Neurospora crassa OR74A: one gene and its partner. The protein of the gene in region 1 interacts with the protein of each later gene in a pairwise test. Links are inferred from orthologs where the notes say so. Each region holds a gene or a part of one and is shown on either strand. Other genes may lie near its edges.

Region 1 (7,038 bases):
TCATCAGCATGGGCTCGTGCGCCAACGGCGGCGGCTACTACCACTACTCGTACAGCGTCGTGCGCGGCTGCGACCGGATTGTCCCTGTTGACATCTACGTCCCGGGGTGCCCGCCTACTAGTGAAGCGCTCATGTATGGCATTTTCCAGTTGCAGAGGAAGATGCGGAATACGAAGATTACGAGGATGTGGTATCGCAAGTAGAGAGCGTTACTACTGCTTGGCACTTGCTTGTCGTGGTCATGGGAGGGGGGTTAGACTTTGGGGTGAGTGGTAGCGCCAAGAAAGGATCGATGAAAGAAGAAGATTGAGTGGTGGTAAAAACCGGAAAGACAGCACGGTTAGATTTCATGGACGAACGGAAGAGCTCGAGAACAACGGCTCACAAGAAGGAACTTCAGTGGAAATTAGACAAGATGTATTATGCTCAGAGTTTGCGTCTTGCTTTTTCTCCCTTATCCGTTCAAAGCTCATCATGAGCTGGAAAAGTGTCGGCCAGTTGTACTTTGTTTTGCTTCAAGACGTGTGACTGTGTACTTTTGCTGTATATGCTCGAGTCAGTTGGCAAGTGAGACGAGGGCCAGAAAACGACCCATTGTTCGACTGTAAAGTCCTCATAAGAGACTCAAGTAGCCAATCCTTGCTATGAAAACAAGGAGAGATTTTCGAAACACATATGTCCTTGGCCCTCCCAAACAAGTCATCGTGATCGAGAGGGGACTGCAAATGGTCTGTCGTATATGGGTATGTATTCACATCTCCGGACCGTCTTCGAGAAGTCAATGGCTCACGAGCTGTTCCCCAGAACTAGTATATCTATGTGATTACCCCTTCAATTTTGGGTACATGCTCATAAATCCAAAAATGAACAAACTATATCAAGAAGCCAGTGGTGGATTGCAGAGGTGGACGCGGATGATGGATGTAGAATGATACCAAACATAGTCTGGACAGTTCGTCTGGCACTAGGTCTTATTAGGGCGGACGAAGAAGACGGTTTCAAACAGAATAAGAGGTAGTGTACAACATGCTTAACTGTCTCTTCATGGTCTCTTCAGCCTCGGGTTATCCCCTTTTCACTTCTCTCTTCACTTCTCTCTTCACTTCTCTCTTCACTTCTCTCTTCACTTCTCTCTTCACTTCTCTCTTCACTTCTTCTTAATCAACCAAAACCTGAGGTCCGGGGTACAGATAGCCTTGAACAAGGTAGAGGGAACTTTTTCCTTTTTCCTTTTTTTTTGTTTCTTTTTTTTTCCTTTTATTTTTTTTCTTTCTTTTCTTTTCTTTTTTTTTTTTTTTTTTTTTTTTTTTTTTTTTTTTTTTTTTTTTTTTTTTTTTTTTTGATAAAGGGCAAGCTAGTAGTAGGGGTAGGCAATCCCAAATACTAATAAGATGTAATGAAAATGGAGAGTTACCAATTTGGCTGAGGGTGGATAGCTAGACTGATTTTGCATTTTTTCACTTTGTAGACCTGTGGAGGTAGAGGTAGGTACCAAGTTATGAGTCGCTATGATCTGGGCTGAATTGGAGGAAAGATCACACGGAGAATAGTGACGGGTAACAGAAGGAAAGCATGAGGGGAAACAGAGCAATGAGGTTGGAGAGGGCCAGGATTAGTTGTTGTACTGACTCCATAATATTAGGCACACAAGAATCATCTTCGACAATGTTGAACGTGAACAGTTGAGCATTGTATACCGGCTGACGGCCGATGAAAAACAAACTCATGCATAGTTTTTGAACTCCCAATTATGTACCTATTCCATACAAAAGAAAAAGACCTTTACAGATCGCCCTTAGCCAAGACTGCCCACCCGTCCAACCCATCAGGGTATCATCCATCTTCTTCCTACGTCTATCCCTCGTCTAACAACCCGACCTTTAAAGCTTGAAGGCACCACTCGACGTAGGACCCTTCTGCTCCGCGATCTTCTTGCCATCCAACCCAACCGTCTCACCCTTCCGGTTAATAACCTTGACACCGCCCTTCTTGAGCTGGCTCATCGTCTCCTTGCGTTCCTGGGCACCCTTGCTGATGTTCTTGTTCGCATCCAGGCCGCCGGCCTTGCGGATGCGCTCCTTCTCGCGTCTGCGTCTCCTAGCCTTCTCCTCGCGGCTCATCTCCTCCTTGGCAATCGGCAGGCCGCTCTTGGCCACGACCTCGCCCTTCTCGACTGAGTCCTTGCCGGGGGCGTACACCTCCTGGGGCGCGAGCGTGCTCTCGCCACCCGACACACCCTGGGCCGTGGTGGGCATGGCGTCCTCCATGGCGACGGTGGCGACGTCGGTGACAACGCTGATGGTGGGTGCGGCGGGTTTAGGCTTGTAGTGCCAGCTGCTGAGGGCGTCGAGCTTGGCGCAGATGTCCTTCCACATGTTCTTGATCTCGGCCTCGTCGCGCGTGAGCTTCTCGTCCGAAGCGCTGACGTACTCGTCCGGGTTGGCCTTCTTGATGTGCTCCTCCTCGTAGATCTCGGCGAGAGACTGCTTGCCCTTGGTGTCGTCGATCTCAACGAGACCGCGGCGCGCGTTGTTGGGGTTATTGAGGGTGTCAGGACGTCTCCTGAGAACCTCGTCGAACTCGTTGGCAAGAATGCGGCGTTTGATGAGCGCCTCAATCGTCTCGGAAACCTCCTCGGTAATGACGGGGACAGGCTTTCCGACATGCTCAAACTCGAGGTCTTCCTCCAGGAGCGAGTTCATGGGACGAGCTTGCGCGGAAGCCTCACCGGACAGAGTCCAGGCGCGCTTGGCAACTAGCTCAGACTCGAGCCTGCGGATCTCCTCGGCAATCTTGGCTTGTCTGCGCTCGTGGGCGGACCGGCGAGATCTCGGATCACCAGCATCAAGATCCGAGAGCTTATCTTCATCTTCATTCTCCGAGATGTCGTCGAAGAGATCGCGGCGCACATCATTCTCGGCTCTCTCCATATCGGCCTCATCTGGCTGCTCAAGTTTCTTGGGGAAATAGCCTCCTTTCCTTTGGTTGCCGGTCTTCTTCTTTTGAGGTGGCGCGAAGAAGTCCTTGTAGTAAATGTCGTTGGCGGTAAGGTCCATGTCCATACCGAGAACACCATCTGTAAGGCCGAGATCGTCGCCATCGTCCTCGAGCTGCTCCACGTTCTTCTTGCCCTTGAGTTTCTTGGCGTGGGCGGCGGCAGCAGCCTCGAGGGCCTCGTCGTCTTCGGATTCATCGCCCATGTCGACGTCGTCCTCATCCTGGTCTTCGTCCTTCTTCTTGTCGCTCTTGCCCTTCTTTGATTTTGGCTTTGTCGCGAAAGGATCGGCGTGCCAGTCTAGCTGTTCGTCGTCGCTGTCGGCATCGACGTTGGGGTCCGCACGGGCATCCGCGTCCTCCCACAACTGTGTCTGCCGGTTGAAGTCGTCTATTGAGAAGAAGCCGTCGTTGAGGCCGTTGGGATCCTCGACAAGTTCTGGCGCATCCTCTTCCTCTTCTTCTTCTTCTTCTTCTTCTTCTTCTTCCTCCTCCTCCTCATCAAACTCTCCTTCTCCATCTTCGTCCGAGAATTCAACCTCTTCGCCATCGATCTCGATTTCTTCATCGTCGTCGATCTGGCTGCCCTCTTCTCCTTCTAATTCTTCTTCGTCATCCTCCTCATCCTCTTCTCCTTCAGAGCCAGAACCAGATTCGCTATCAGCATCCTCCTCATCGTCCTCCTCCTCCTCATCAGAACCAAGCTCAAACCCATCCTCTCCAAACTCAATGGTCTTCTCTTGTTCCTCGCCGGTGCCCACAATCCCGTTCTCCTCCAGCTCCTTCAGCACATCGCCAGCCTCCTTTGTGGCGCTGGCAATGATCTTCTTGGCCTGCTGCCAAATCTGCTCCGTCTCGAAGCCGTCGTCGACGTGCAGCTTGCGAATCTTGAGCACGGCATTCTTGTCATAGCCAGCCTCACGCTTGCGCTTCTTTCCACCGATGGTGGCCGCGATCTCTTTCAGCTTTGCCTGCTGGTGGTCACTGACCTGCGAGGCGAGCGCGTCGAGGGTCTCCTTGGCGAGCAGGAGGGATCCGGCGGGAAGGGTCGAGGGCGGCTGCAGGAAGACGTGGCGGTTGGACTCGTCGGCCAGGGCCGAGAGGAAGGAGGCGACGACGGGGTTGTTGGCAATTGTCGAAGGAGAGGTGCTGCCGCTCGACGATGCGGCGAGGGTAGCGGCCATGACGCTGTTGTGTGTGGAGGGGTCGTGGGTGATTGTTTGGGATGTCGAGGTTACGGAAGAGGTTATGCTGCCAGCTGCCATGTCTGTTTTTTAGGTAGGGTTGGACTAATGCTGTAAGAAGATCAATCAAGGCTAGGGTATCGAGGCTGGCCTTGTCATACAAGTGTCTGACTTGAGGGTTCAATATGGACGCTTGACTAAGAAATGGCAGGGCGTCGGTGTTTGCCGTTGCCCGTACCAAAACAAAAAAAAGTTCGACCTGACGATGTTTGGTTGCCAGCCGGCGATATTGATGGACCAAAATTTTTTCTGCCATAGCGCTCTCCAAGGTCCAGGAAACGGCGAAGCGTGGAGGCAGGCGTCCCCGCACCAGCTTATGGGGCTGGCTGTGAATTGACCAATGATGGGTGATTCTGCTCTCTGGAAATGGAAGTAGGTCCCACTTCTCTTGTTGTTAAGCTTCAGGGCGGTGCACCGCTATAAGACGAGGTTGCCTTAACACTTATAATCGGATGACAATGTCAAGTAAACAAACCACAAAGTGCATGCAGTCTCAAAGGAGATGCTCGACATCAAGCTTGAGAGAGGGGATGAATTCACAATGACCTTTTTTTAAATATAGCATACGCTAGCGAGTTACTCTGAAGTTACTGGAAACTCAGTAAGCAATCACGCAACGATCTCCAGTGCTGTTGGATAGGTGAAGTCGCCGTTTCGACACAGGCACCTAGCTTGTTATCAGCACTTCCTTATCTAAAATTCCAGACTACCCTATCAATCCCATCAGCTCGTACATAGTCTATTGTATCTTTCGCCGCTTCACTTTCGTCGTAACTGGAAGTTTCTTGTCAAACGGTAAAAGGTAATTAAATTGTGCAAGAACTGTAAAATGTTAAACCAACGATTAACCCCATTGAGGAAGAGCGCTAGGTTTGCCTCATACTAGCTACATTACAGTATGCTTCTCGTGTTCTTTTCAACATCGTAATGAGATCTCTGCGACAGACGTTGATGGACTATTTTCTGTAGAGGTAGGCTACTTACCCAGCCGGCTCTTCTTCATGGTCTGGATAACGTGCAGAGAAAGCTCTTATTACATAGTAGAAATGTAAGGGTGTTATTTGCGCACCTTCGGGGAAAGATGCTGCAAGTCATAACACTTGTTGAAGTTCCTTCACAAGCCACATCCCTATGCATATGGTATCGCCCGTGAGAATTTTGACGGACCATGAGGTATTCTTTCAAAATACGACAGCAGCGTTGACGTGCTGCATTAGGGTCTGGACCGTCTAAGCCTTCATTGAATGCAACTCGCGGGAGAGTGTCCCGCCGAGCCGAGCTGCGAGTGATACTCAAGACCTTCGTATCCCAGGCCAGGGAATTGTATCATGTTCTTTAGCGGTTGCCGAGGTCAATGTGAGGGCGATGGTGGCTTTGGTGATCCCAGCCTCTATGGTCGTGCGTTGCGTGCTCTCAATATGACCTCTTTTTCATGTTCGCCGGGAAATAACTGTGAACCTCACGGTGAAGATGTTTGCTATGTAACCACTAACTTGCTGTCGTGAACGGCGAGGATCCCATCAAGTGTCAGTGGCCTCCTGTATAGTACGACACATGAACTTGATCGCTAAGTGGCGTTGCTCGGTCCAATCGCATCACACCATCTATCTCTGCTACCTACCTAGAGTAGAATGGCCAAGTTAACGGCAACATTTCCAAAGTCGTACAGGAGGTCGCGAGAGAAGTTTCGGTTGGCTCACACTATGTAACTGCCAATCGCACACTGTTTGGTTACAGAGCTGGAAGATACGTCGAGATGGAGGGACGGGAAATACTTTTGAGTTGCCGGATGTTACCTAATTTGTCAAGCGAAGGAGATCTCCTTGTGAAAATCCGGACGGGCCGATTCATTCTTTTCTATTTTCCATATCCGCCTCCCTTCTGGCAGGCTCTATGTGAGGGTGAGAGGAGAAACTGCATCCCACAACAGGTCTTCACAACACGACTTGTCAAGAGCACCTGTCCGTCGCCCCACCCCATCTATGCTGTTGGGAGCCGTCTTGCAGCTGTACCAGTGGCAACTCGATCGTTTTCTCTTGGTAGGACCACGGTGCAAATGCTTGAGTACCGTACCTACCTAACCTCGGTCGAGACAAAATGAAAGAGACTGCAGCCGGCCCAGACCAGAATCATGACATTTCCTCTCGTTAATTTTACCTCTTTTATTCGTCTTCATGGTCATTTATGGTTCTCAACAAGTGTCTACAGCCTTACAAACTCGTAGGTGTTTTGTCAATATGCCGTTGACATCATGTTCTGGAGACCATGTTTTTCTTTTTGTCCTGGACGAGCCAGTTACGCAACCATAATGGGTGTGTATGGGGAACCTGGTGGAGGACGATCAATCGTTGTTACCCTGGAGGTGGTTTTGGCCGACCCGGATAAAGCGACTGTGCGCGATTCCAAACAGCCTGTGTGGGCCAAGGCACATGTCACCTCCCGGTAACCTAGATTAGTGGTTAGGGTTAGTGGTTAGGGTTAGGCGTTAGGGTTAGTTCCGGGGGTGTAGGGGGCCGGTGAGAGGCCCCTGCGTGTGAATGAAAGTCCAACGCTTTAAAAAAAGGTGGTTTTAAGTTCTTATTATCGTTGTTAAGATAATGACATTTGGTGGTGACTTTGGTGGTGACTTGCGGTCGCGAAAGTTGGCGCGACAGATGCCAAGCTTTGGGTCTTGGCTGAGCTTGGCTGTCGATTTGTATGGGACCCACACAGGCCATATGGAATCGAGCACAGTCGCTTTATCCGGGTCGGGTTTTGGCGTGTTTCTAGACCAATAGCAGCGCCATAGTCAGTGATTCTC
Region 2 (6,941 bases), on another chromosome or scaffold:
TCTGACCCATCCAGGACTCCGGGACCGAATCTTGTCGTTGTTCGTCTGTCCGACTGTTCGATCCATGACCATCGGGTTCGTTTCCGGTTTCCCTCGTACCGTGATGCCAAATCGCCAGTCCTTGAATATATCATGCCGCATTCAGAATTTAAGCAACGAGCTCAATGACACCACCGGCCTCCTTGATCTTGCGCTCAGCCTCGGCGGAGACGTAGCGGGCACGGACGACGATGGGGACCTGGGGGAGACGGCCTAGAATGTGTTGTTAGACGAGCCTTCTCGGGGGTGTTTCTTTGCAATTGCTTGTTCTTACCCTTGCCGAGGAGCTTGGCATAGCCGTGGGAAAGGAGGTCGATGACGGGAGCAGTCTCGGTGGCGGCACCAGAGACGTACTTCTCGCGGGCCTCAGCGGGGACGAGAGTCCAGAGCTTCTCAATGTTGAGGATGGGGGCCCACTGGTGGTTGCGGAGGAGGTGGAAGTGCCTCATACCGACCTTACCGAAGTAACCAGGGTGGTCTATCCGTCATCGTCAGCGTTTATTTTCATTATATCGAGGGGCAAGGCCTGGTCGCATGTCGGAGAAGTGAGGTTGAACCATGCGCCCTCCAACATGCGCCGACCGTTTATTTTCGGGGTTGCGTACACTTATCGAGGTTGGTACGGTGGTGGTGCTTATCGTCGGGTTAGTATCGCGTGTTTTCGAGATCGAGTCGTTGGAGTTTCTATCGGCATACCTGACCACCGGCCATACCACGACCACTGTTCCCATTGTTAGCATCATATTTCCCCCCCTTCGAATCTGCAGAAGCGGCGGTACGTACCCTGGATGCTTTCTGTGCTTGCCGACACGGCTGGAATAATGCTGTCAATACTCGTTCGTGTTTATCGGTCGGTTGATCGGTTGGCGACATACCCCTTACCGGCGGAAACCTATAAAATCACTACAGTCAGTCATCTGTCGAATCGGCGACGACAAAGCTCGAGGGGGCGCTTACATGTCCGCGGTGCTTTCTTGTCTTGGAAAACCGAGTAGGCTACATAATAACTGAATCAGCGTTTCGTCCTGCGATAGTCGTGCAGCAATTGCCATACCATGTTGTCTGCTGGTGGTGCCGATGAAGCTCGTTCTGTCGACGTCGGTTGATGCTTCTAAGAGACGCTTCACGGGTCTCGTACAAGTCAAATTTAGGGCTGTGTATTTTTTTTGGTGGGCACAAGTGGTGGTCCAAGCTCCGGGCTTGAGCCGCACCACGCACTCAAGCCACACCGTTCCTCTCGCTGCAATTGCTGTGTGCCAAGGCCAGCCTACCAGCTCGACAAGCCACATATTTCCGCTTCATCAAGCAGGGTTAGGGTCTATGGCTAAGCCTTGTCCCTCAGCTCGTCCACTTGAGCCCCTCTTGCCTTCAACATCATCCTATCATCCTATCATCCTGTTTGGATCCTTGCTCGAAATTGTCGATCTGCCTGGAGTCGCTTTTCGTTTGACACACATCTTTTGTGTTGCTGCAAGATCGGGCTCACTGCCCTCCATTGTTCTGTGTTCTACATCTCTAGGATTAAACTGGCCAGCAGCCCAGCCATCGTTCCCCTGTCTTCCCAGAACCTGCCTTAAGACAGACCAGCCCTCACTTACATCTTCTCAGCCGACCACATCCACCGAGTTGCGAACATGCTCATTCCCGATAACCACACATTTGGTTTCTACTCCCCGCTTCACCAGAACTGCTCATCGCGATAGCCTCAACTCGAACTTGTTACTGCGAGATATCGTTCACTCCATGACATTTACTATTAGAGGACTTGTTGTACCAACTCGACCACGTCATAGAAGGAGTCACTAGTAGTGGTGTCGACCTTCTCCAGGCCCAAACCAAGCAACAAAGACCGCTGCTCATTGGGGTTGCGCAAAGTCAGGAGACTGGCAATTTGACTGGCATAAAGCTGGCCCATGGTCTCCCTCTCCGCATTTCCACCTCCAAGAAGAGTCGTTGCTGTTAAATGTTCTGATGGTAACAGGCTACCGGCGCCAGGCAGAGCCATGTCTACTGACGCGGAAGAAGGTGCGGCTAGTTGTACTTGGACCTAGAACATGGTATGTTAGTAGACTGTAAGTGGGATGGCGTTCGGGCGCTCTTGAACCTACCCACTGAGCAAGGCGCCCACCTTGAGAAATGGTGACCATGATCTTGTCCGAGAAGTTCATTGATGAAACCTCAGTTTCCACTCCGTTGACAAGCCCAGTTGCCTGCCTGGAAGGTGACGGGAATGGCTCTTGCCTGACTGCGTCCTCAGACATGGTGAGTTCTGGATGTGGTGAAGTATGGACAGTTGCAAGACTCGAAAAACCGCGTGTGTTTCAAAGGATAAGACCGTAGGGGGATAACTTCGGCTTCTGTACTCCTGGTCGGATAGTACTCTCTGATGTCTCTACTGCGTTCATATTCAGAGTTTAGACGCGGGACTCCATCGTGATGTTTGTTGATGGAGCCGGAGTGGGCTGGGCTGCAGAGTTCAGGATGGACCCACGAAACATAGCAAACTGTACGCGCACTGTAGCTGGGTTACTTCAGTTGCTGTCCTGGACCCTCACAGGCCCCCAAAACGTGGGGTGCCACATTTAGCGCAGAAATTCTGCCAGGCGGACAAGATTTAATCTTCAAATCTTCAGGGTACTTGGTGACTTTCAGTTCGTTGCATTCTGCCGTCGCGACACCGGCCCTCATTTCTGCCGTCACTGCTCGCCTCGAGCACACCCGATAAAACAACAACATGGCTGTCATAGACGGGAAGTTCGTGCCGCGTCAGCGCAAGCGCAAGCAGCTTGATCGCCAGCGGTCGAGGAGTAAGGGAACACAAGACCCCGAAGACACCAACGTCCTCGAGATCGCTCCTGGACAGGAAACCACCACGGATGCCGAAAAGAAGAAGACCGAGCTACGGGAGGAATTGAGGCCTGCGGGTGTCAAGGTCAGCAGCAAGAAGGCCAAGAGACTCGAAAAGTACATCGACACAAAGCTCAAGAAGGACGAGAACCGCGAACTCCTGGCCAAGCTTGCCGCCAACAAGATCGACACCTCCCTATTCTCAAGCACAAAATCACTAGGCCAAACAAAATTGACCAAAAAGGAGGAGCTCAGCCGGCTTGTCAAGGAAGCAAAAGCTGGACTTATAACAGAGAAGGAGGCGGCCAAGAAACTTTACGAAAAGCGAGAGGTGAAGGAAGGTGCACCAGTACCAAAGCCTAAACCCACGGTCGACGAGGATTCAGAGGGCTCGGAAGATGAGCAGGACTCGGCAGCCGAGAAGCCAAGGAGCGCGCCAGCGGAAACAAGCGAGCCTACACCAGTACAAGCGACGACATCGTCAACAAGCCTGCCAGTACCTGTCGGTGCTGGTCTCAAGCGCCCCTTAGAGGTCGACGAGTCAGGACGCCCAATACTTGCCAAGAGACAAAAGAGAGGAGGTGTGAAAACGAAGCACAACTTTACATCATCGCAAGCTCCCGCAGTCATTCCTGTGCCGGAAGTGGTAGAATGGGACGGTTTCAGTTCGGAGGGCGAAGAGGGTTCAGACGATGAAGAGTCTGAGGGTAGTGGTTCAGGCAGCGAGGAAGAAGGCAGTGAAGAGGAGGAGGAGGAATCGGGAGAAGAGGATGGATCTGAAGAGAACGGAGAGGGTTCCGAAGATGATTCAGAAGACGATGATTCTGCGGAAGAATCCGACGAGGACATGGAGGACGCCGAGGAGGACAAGAAAGCAAAGTCTTCAGCCTTCAAGGCTTGGGCGCATCAGGCGAGGAACGAAGCTTTGGGTTACAAGCCTGCTGAATCAAGCATTCTCGAGATACCGAAACCTGCCAACTTTACGCCTCGGCCGATCGAACAAGAGCCTCTGCCTATCGAGCTGCAACCAACAAAGAACGATTCCCGCAAGGCTTTCGCCGTGGTAGTTACCAGGACACCCGAGATCCAGGAAACTCGTTTCAGGTTACCGGTTGTTGCAGAGGAACAGAAGATTATGGAGGCCATTCACGACAACGACATTGTCATCATTTGCGGTGCCACCGGTTCCGGCAAGACCACGCAGGTTCCCCAGTTCCTCTTCGAGTCCGGTTACGGTGTTCCGGATGGACCTACTCCTGGCATGATTGGTGTCACCCAGCCGAGACGTGTCGCTGCTGTCAGTATGTCGAAGCGTGTTGGCGAAGAAATGGGAGACTATTCACATGTGGTTTCCTACCAAATCAGATTCGAAGGCACCGTTGACTCCAAGACGGCCATCAAGTTCATGACGGATGGTGTCTTGCTTCGTGAGGCGGCCATCGATATTGCTCTTCGCAAGTACTCTGCCATCATCATTGATGAAGCCCACGAGAGAAGCGTCAATACCGATATCCTGATTGCGATGCTCAGCAGAGTGGTCAAGCTTAGGAGAGAGTTGGCGGAGGAAGACCCCACGATCAAGCCTCTCAAGCTGATCATCATGTCCGCCACCCTCAGGGTTGAGGAATTCACCCAAAACTCTAACTTGTTCCACACCACTCCTCGCATCATTGAGGTAGAAGGCCGTGAGCATGCTGTTACCATGCATTTTGCCAAAAAGACAAACCACGACTACGTTGATGAGGCATTCCGCAAGATTTGCAGGGGCCACAGGAAACTGCCCCCTGGTGGCATGCTTGTGTTCATGACCGGTCAGGGTGAAATTGCCCAGCTCAGCAAGCGGTTGAAGGCGCGTTTTGGTGGCGGTATGAACACCGCCAGCACCACCAAGGTGCGGATTTCTGCGAAGGAGGCACCCATGGAAGTCGAAGACATCGACTTTGGCGACGTTGAGGATGACCGTAACATCAACGACAGAGACGATGACGATATCTCCATTGCGTCGGACGAGGAGGAAGACAAGGAGTTCGAGATTGAGGACCAAGAATCTGGTACAGGGCCATTGAAGATGCATATCCTACCTCTCTTCTCTTTGCTCCCCACGAAAGAGCAGATGAAGGTGTTTGAGCCGCCCCCAGAGGGCCACCGTCTCGTCATCCTGGCTACCAACGTCGCTGAAACATCCTTGACAATTCCCGGCATCAAGTACGTTTTCGACACTGGAAGGTCGAAGGAGAGAAAGTTCGATCCTGTCAGTGGCGTCCAGAGTTTCGAGATTGGGTGGATCAGCAAGGCCAGCGCAAAGCAGCGTGCCGGTCGTGCCGGTCGTACCGGTCCGGGACACTGCTGGAGACTCTACTCCTCGGCCGTTTACGAAAGAGACTTCCCCGAGTTTTCAGAGCCCGAGTTGCTTCGCATGCCCATCGAGGGCGTTGTGCTCCAGCTCAAGTCCATGAACCTCCAGCATGTCGTCAACTTCCCCTTCCCCACGCCGCCACCGCGTGAGAGCTTGATCAAGGCCGAGAAGCTTTTGACCTACCTCAACGCCATCTCCCAAACTGGCCAAGTCACCCCCATCGGATCTACCATGTCCATCTTCCCGCTCTCTCCCCGCTTCGCTCGCATCCTTCTTATCGGACATCTCCACGACTGCCTTCCCTACACCGTTGCGCTCGTAGCCGGTCTCTCAGCCGGCGAGATCTACATTCCCGAGAACCAAGCCATCCCCGCCGCCGCCGTTCAAGAAGCCAAGAAGAGCAACGCCGGCGGTTCCGATGATGAAGACGACTCCCGCGCCGTCACTTTCCGCACTACCGAAGACGTCCTTGCTGACGACCGCCGCGCCAAGATCCGCGCCGCCTTCAACGCCGTCCACAAGAACTTCTGCTACCTAGACGACAAGTCCGACGCCATCAAGCTCCTCCAAGTCGTCGGCGAGTTCGCGCACGACCCCACGGAATCCTGGTGCGACTCCCACTTTGTTCGCTTCAAGGTCCTCAAAGAAATCAAACAACTCCAAAAACAGCTCATCGACCTTCTGAGAGCCAACATCCCCGCCTTCGCCAACCTTTCCGTGCCCGACACGCTTGACCCCCCCTCGCAAAAACAGGTGCAAGCCCTAAAACAAATGGTTGCCGCGGGTTTTATCGACCAAGTCGCCATCCGCGCTGACAAGGCCCCCATGCCGCCCGAGATGTACCGCAAGCCCAAGCGCGCTATTGACGTTCCTTACCTGCCCCTGATCCCGCTCGAAGGCGAGGACGGCAGGAAACTAGAACTGGAAGAAAAGCTCGTCTACATCCACCCCTCGTCTCCCTTAGCCCACTTGAGCGTGGACGAATGCCCGGACTACATCGTGTACGCCTATCTGCAAAAGGCAGGCAACACGGGCGCGGACGGGCAGAAGCGGGCCAAGACGAGGATGCATGCGCTGACGGACTTGACGGCGGGTCAGCTGGCGAGTTTGGCCAAGGGGACGCCGCTGATTACGTACGGAAAGCCAATTAAGGAGGTTAAGGGGTCAGAGAGTAAAGATGGGAAGGAGAGGGAGGTTTGGGTGGTGCCGTATTTGAGAGCGGAAGGGCAGGGAGGGATGGGCTGGCCATTGCCGGCCAGGAAGGTGAAGCAGAGGAAGGTGGCCGGGCAAGGGTGGGTTGTTGAGTAGAAAACATGGCTTTCCATGGCGTTTTATATAGATAAGGATTTCAGGAGACAGGTCTGGGTTTCAAGTAATCAATGTGTTTTGCTTGTTGGTTTTCTGCATAGACGTTCTCGTTTTGGTTTGATGATGTGAGCTTCGTTCTTTGCCTACGGGGAAGTGACGCTGTAAGAGTTGACTTCCTTCAACATATGGTACATCTGTGGTCCTCACAAAGTCTCTGTTTGGTGCCATTAAGCTAATGGATCAGGCGAGCTGAAACTGCTTCGTTGTTGCTACAAATACTCGCTATGTTTAAATATCATGGACATTACCAATCTGTCCACCATCCTAGGGTATCTAATCGCCGTACCTAAAGCCAAATGCCATCCAATCATGTGCAATCGACGCCGTTTTA

Evidence for each region. The genes of interacting proteins can lie anywhere in the genome.
Region 2: the proteins of NCU03952 (region 1) and NCU03808 interact in binary tests that used the Saccharomyces cerevisiae proteins (3 or more experiments, as listed by UniProt). The link is inferred for Neurospora crassa OR74A from reciprocal best matches to the Saccharomyces cerevisiae genes MPP10 and ECM16.

The regions. Positions count from the first base shown.
Region 1 is NC_026506.1:2,220,003-2,227,040, reverse strand, and holds NCU03952 (U3 small nucleolar ribonucleoprotein Mpp10), read right to left. Parts: upstream 4,669-7,038; 5' UTR 4,260-4,668; coding exon 1,881-4,259; 3' UTR 1,428-1,880; downstream 1-1,427. Other genes in the region: nuo19.3 (mitochondrial NADH-ubiquinone oxidoreductase 20 kDa subunit), read left to right, coding at 1-203. UniProt on the Saccharomyces cerevisiae protein: Involved in nucleolar processing of pre-18S ribosomal RNA. Required for the early cleavages at sites A0, A1 and A2 during 18S ribosomal pre-RNA processing.
Region 2 is NC_026505.1:2,472,861-2,479,801, forward strand, and holds NCU03808 (pre-mRNA-splicing factor ATP-dependent RNA helicase PRP16), read left to right. Parts: upstream 1-2,704; 5' UTR 2,705-2,773; coding exon 2,774-6,550; 3' UTR 6,551-6,626; downstream 6,627-6,941. Other genes in the region: cyh-2 (60S ribosomal protein L28), read right to left, coding at 149-252, 314-517, 645-672, 736-760, 823-852, 915-931, 997-1,035, 1,094-1,096; NCU03807 (hypothetical protein), read right to left, coding at 1,796-2,086, 2,148-2,300. UniProt on the Saccharomyces cerevisiae protein: Probable ATP-binding RNA helicase. Required for 18S rRNA synthesis. May play a role in restructuring of the pre-rRNA.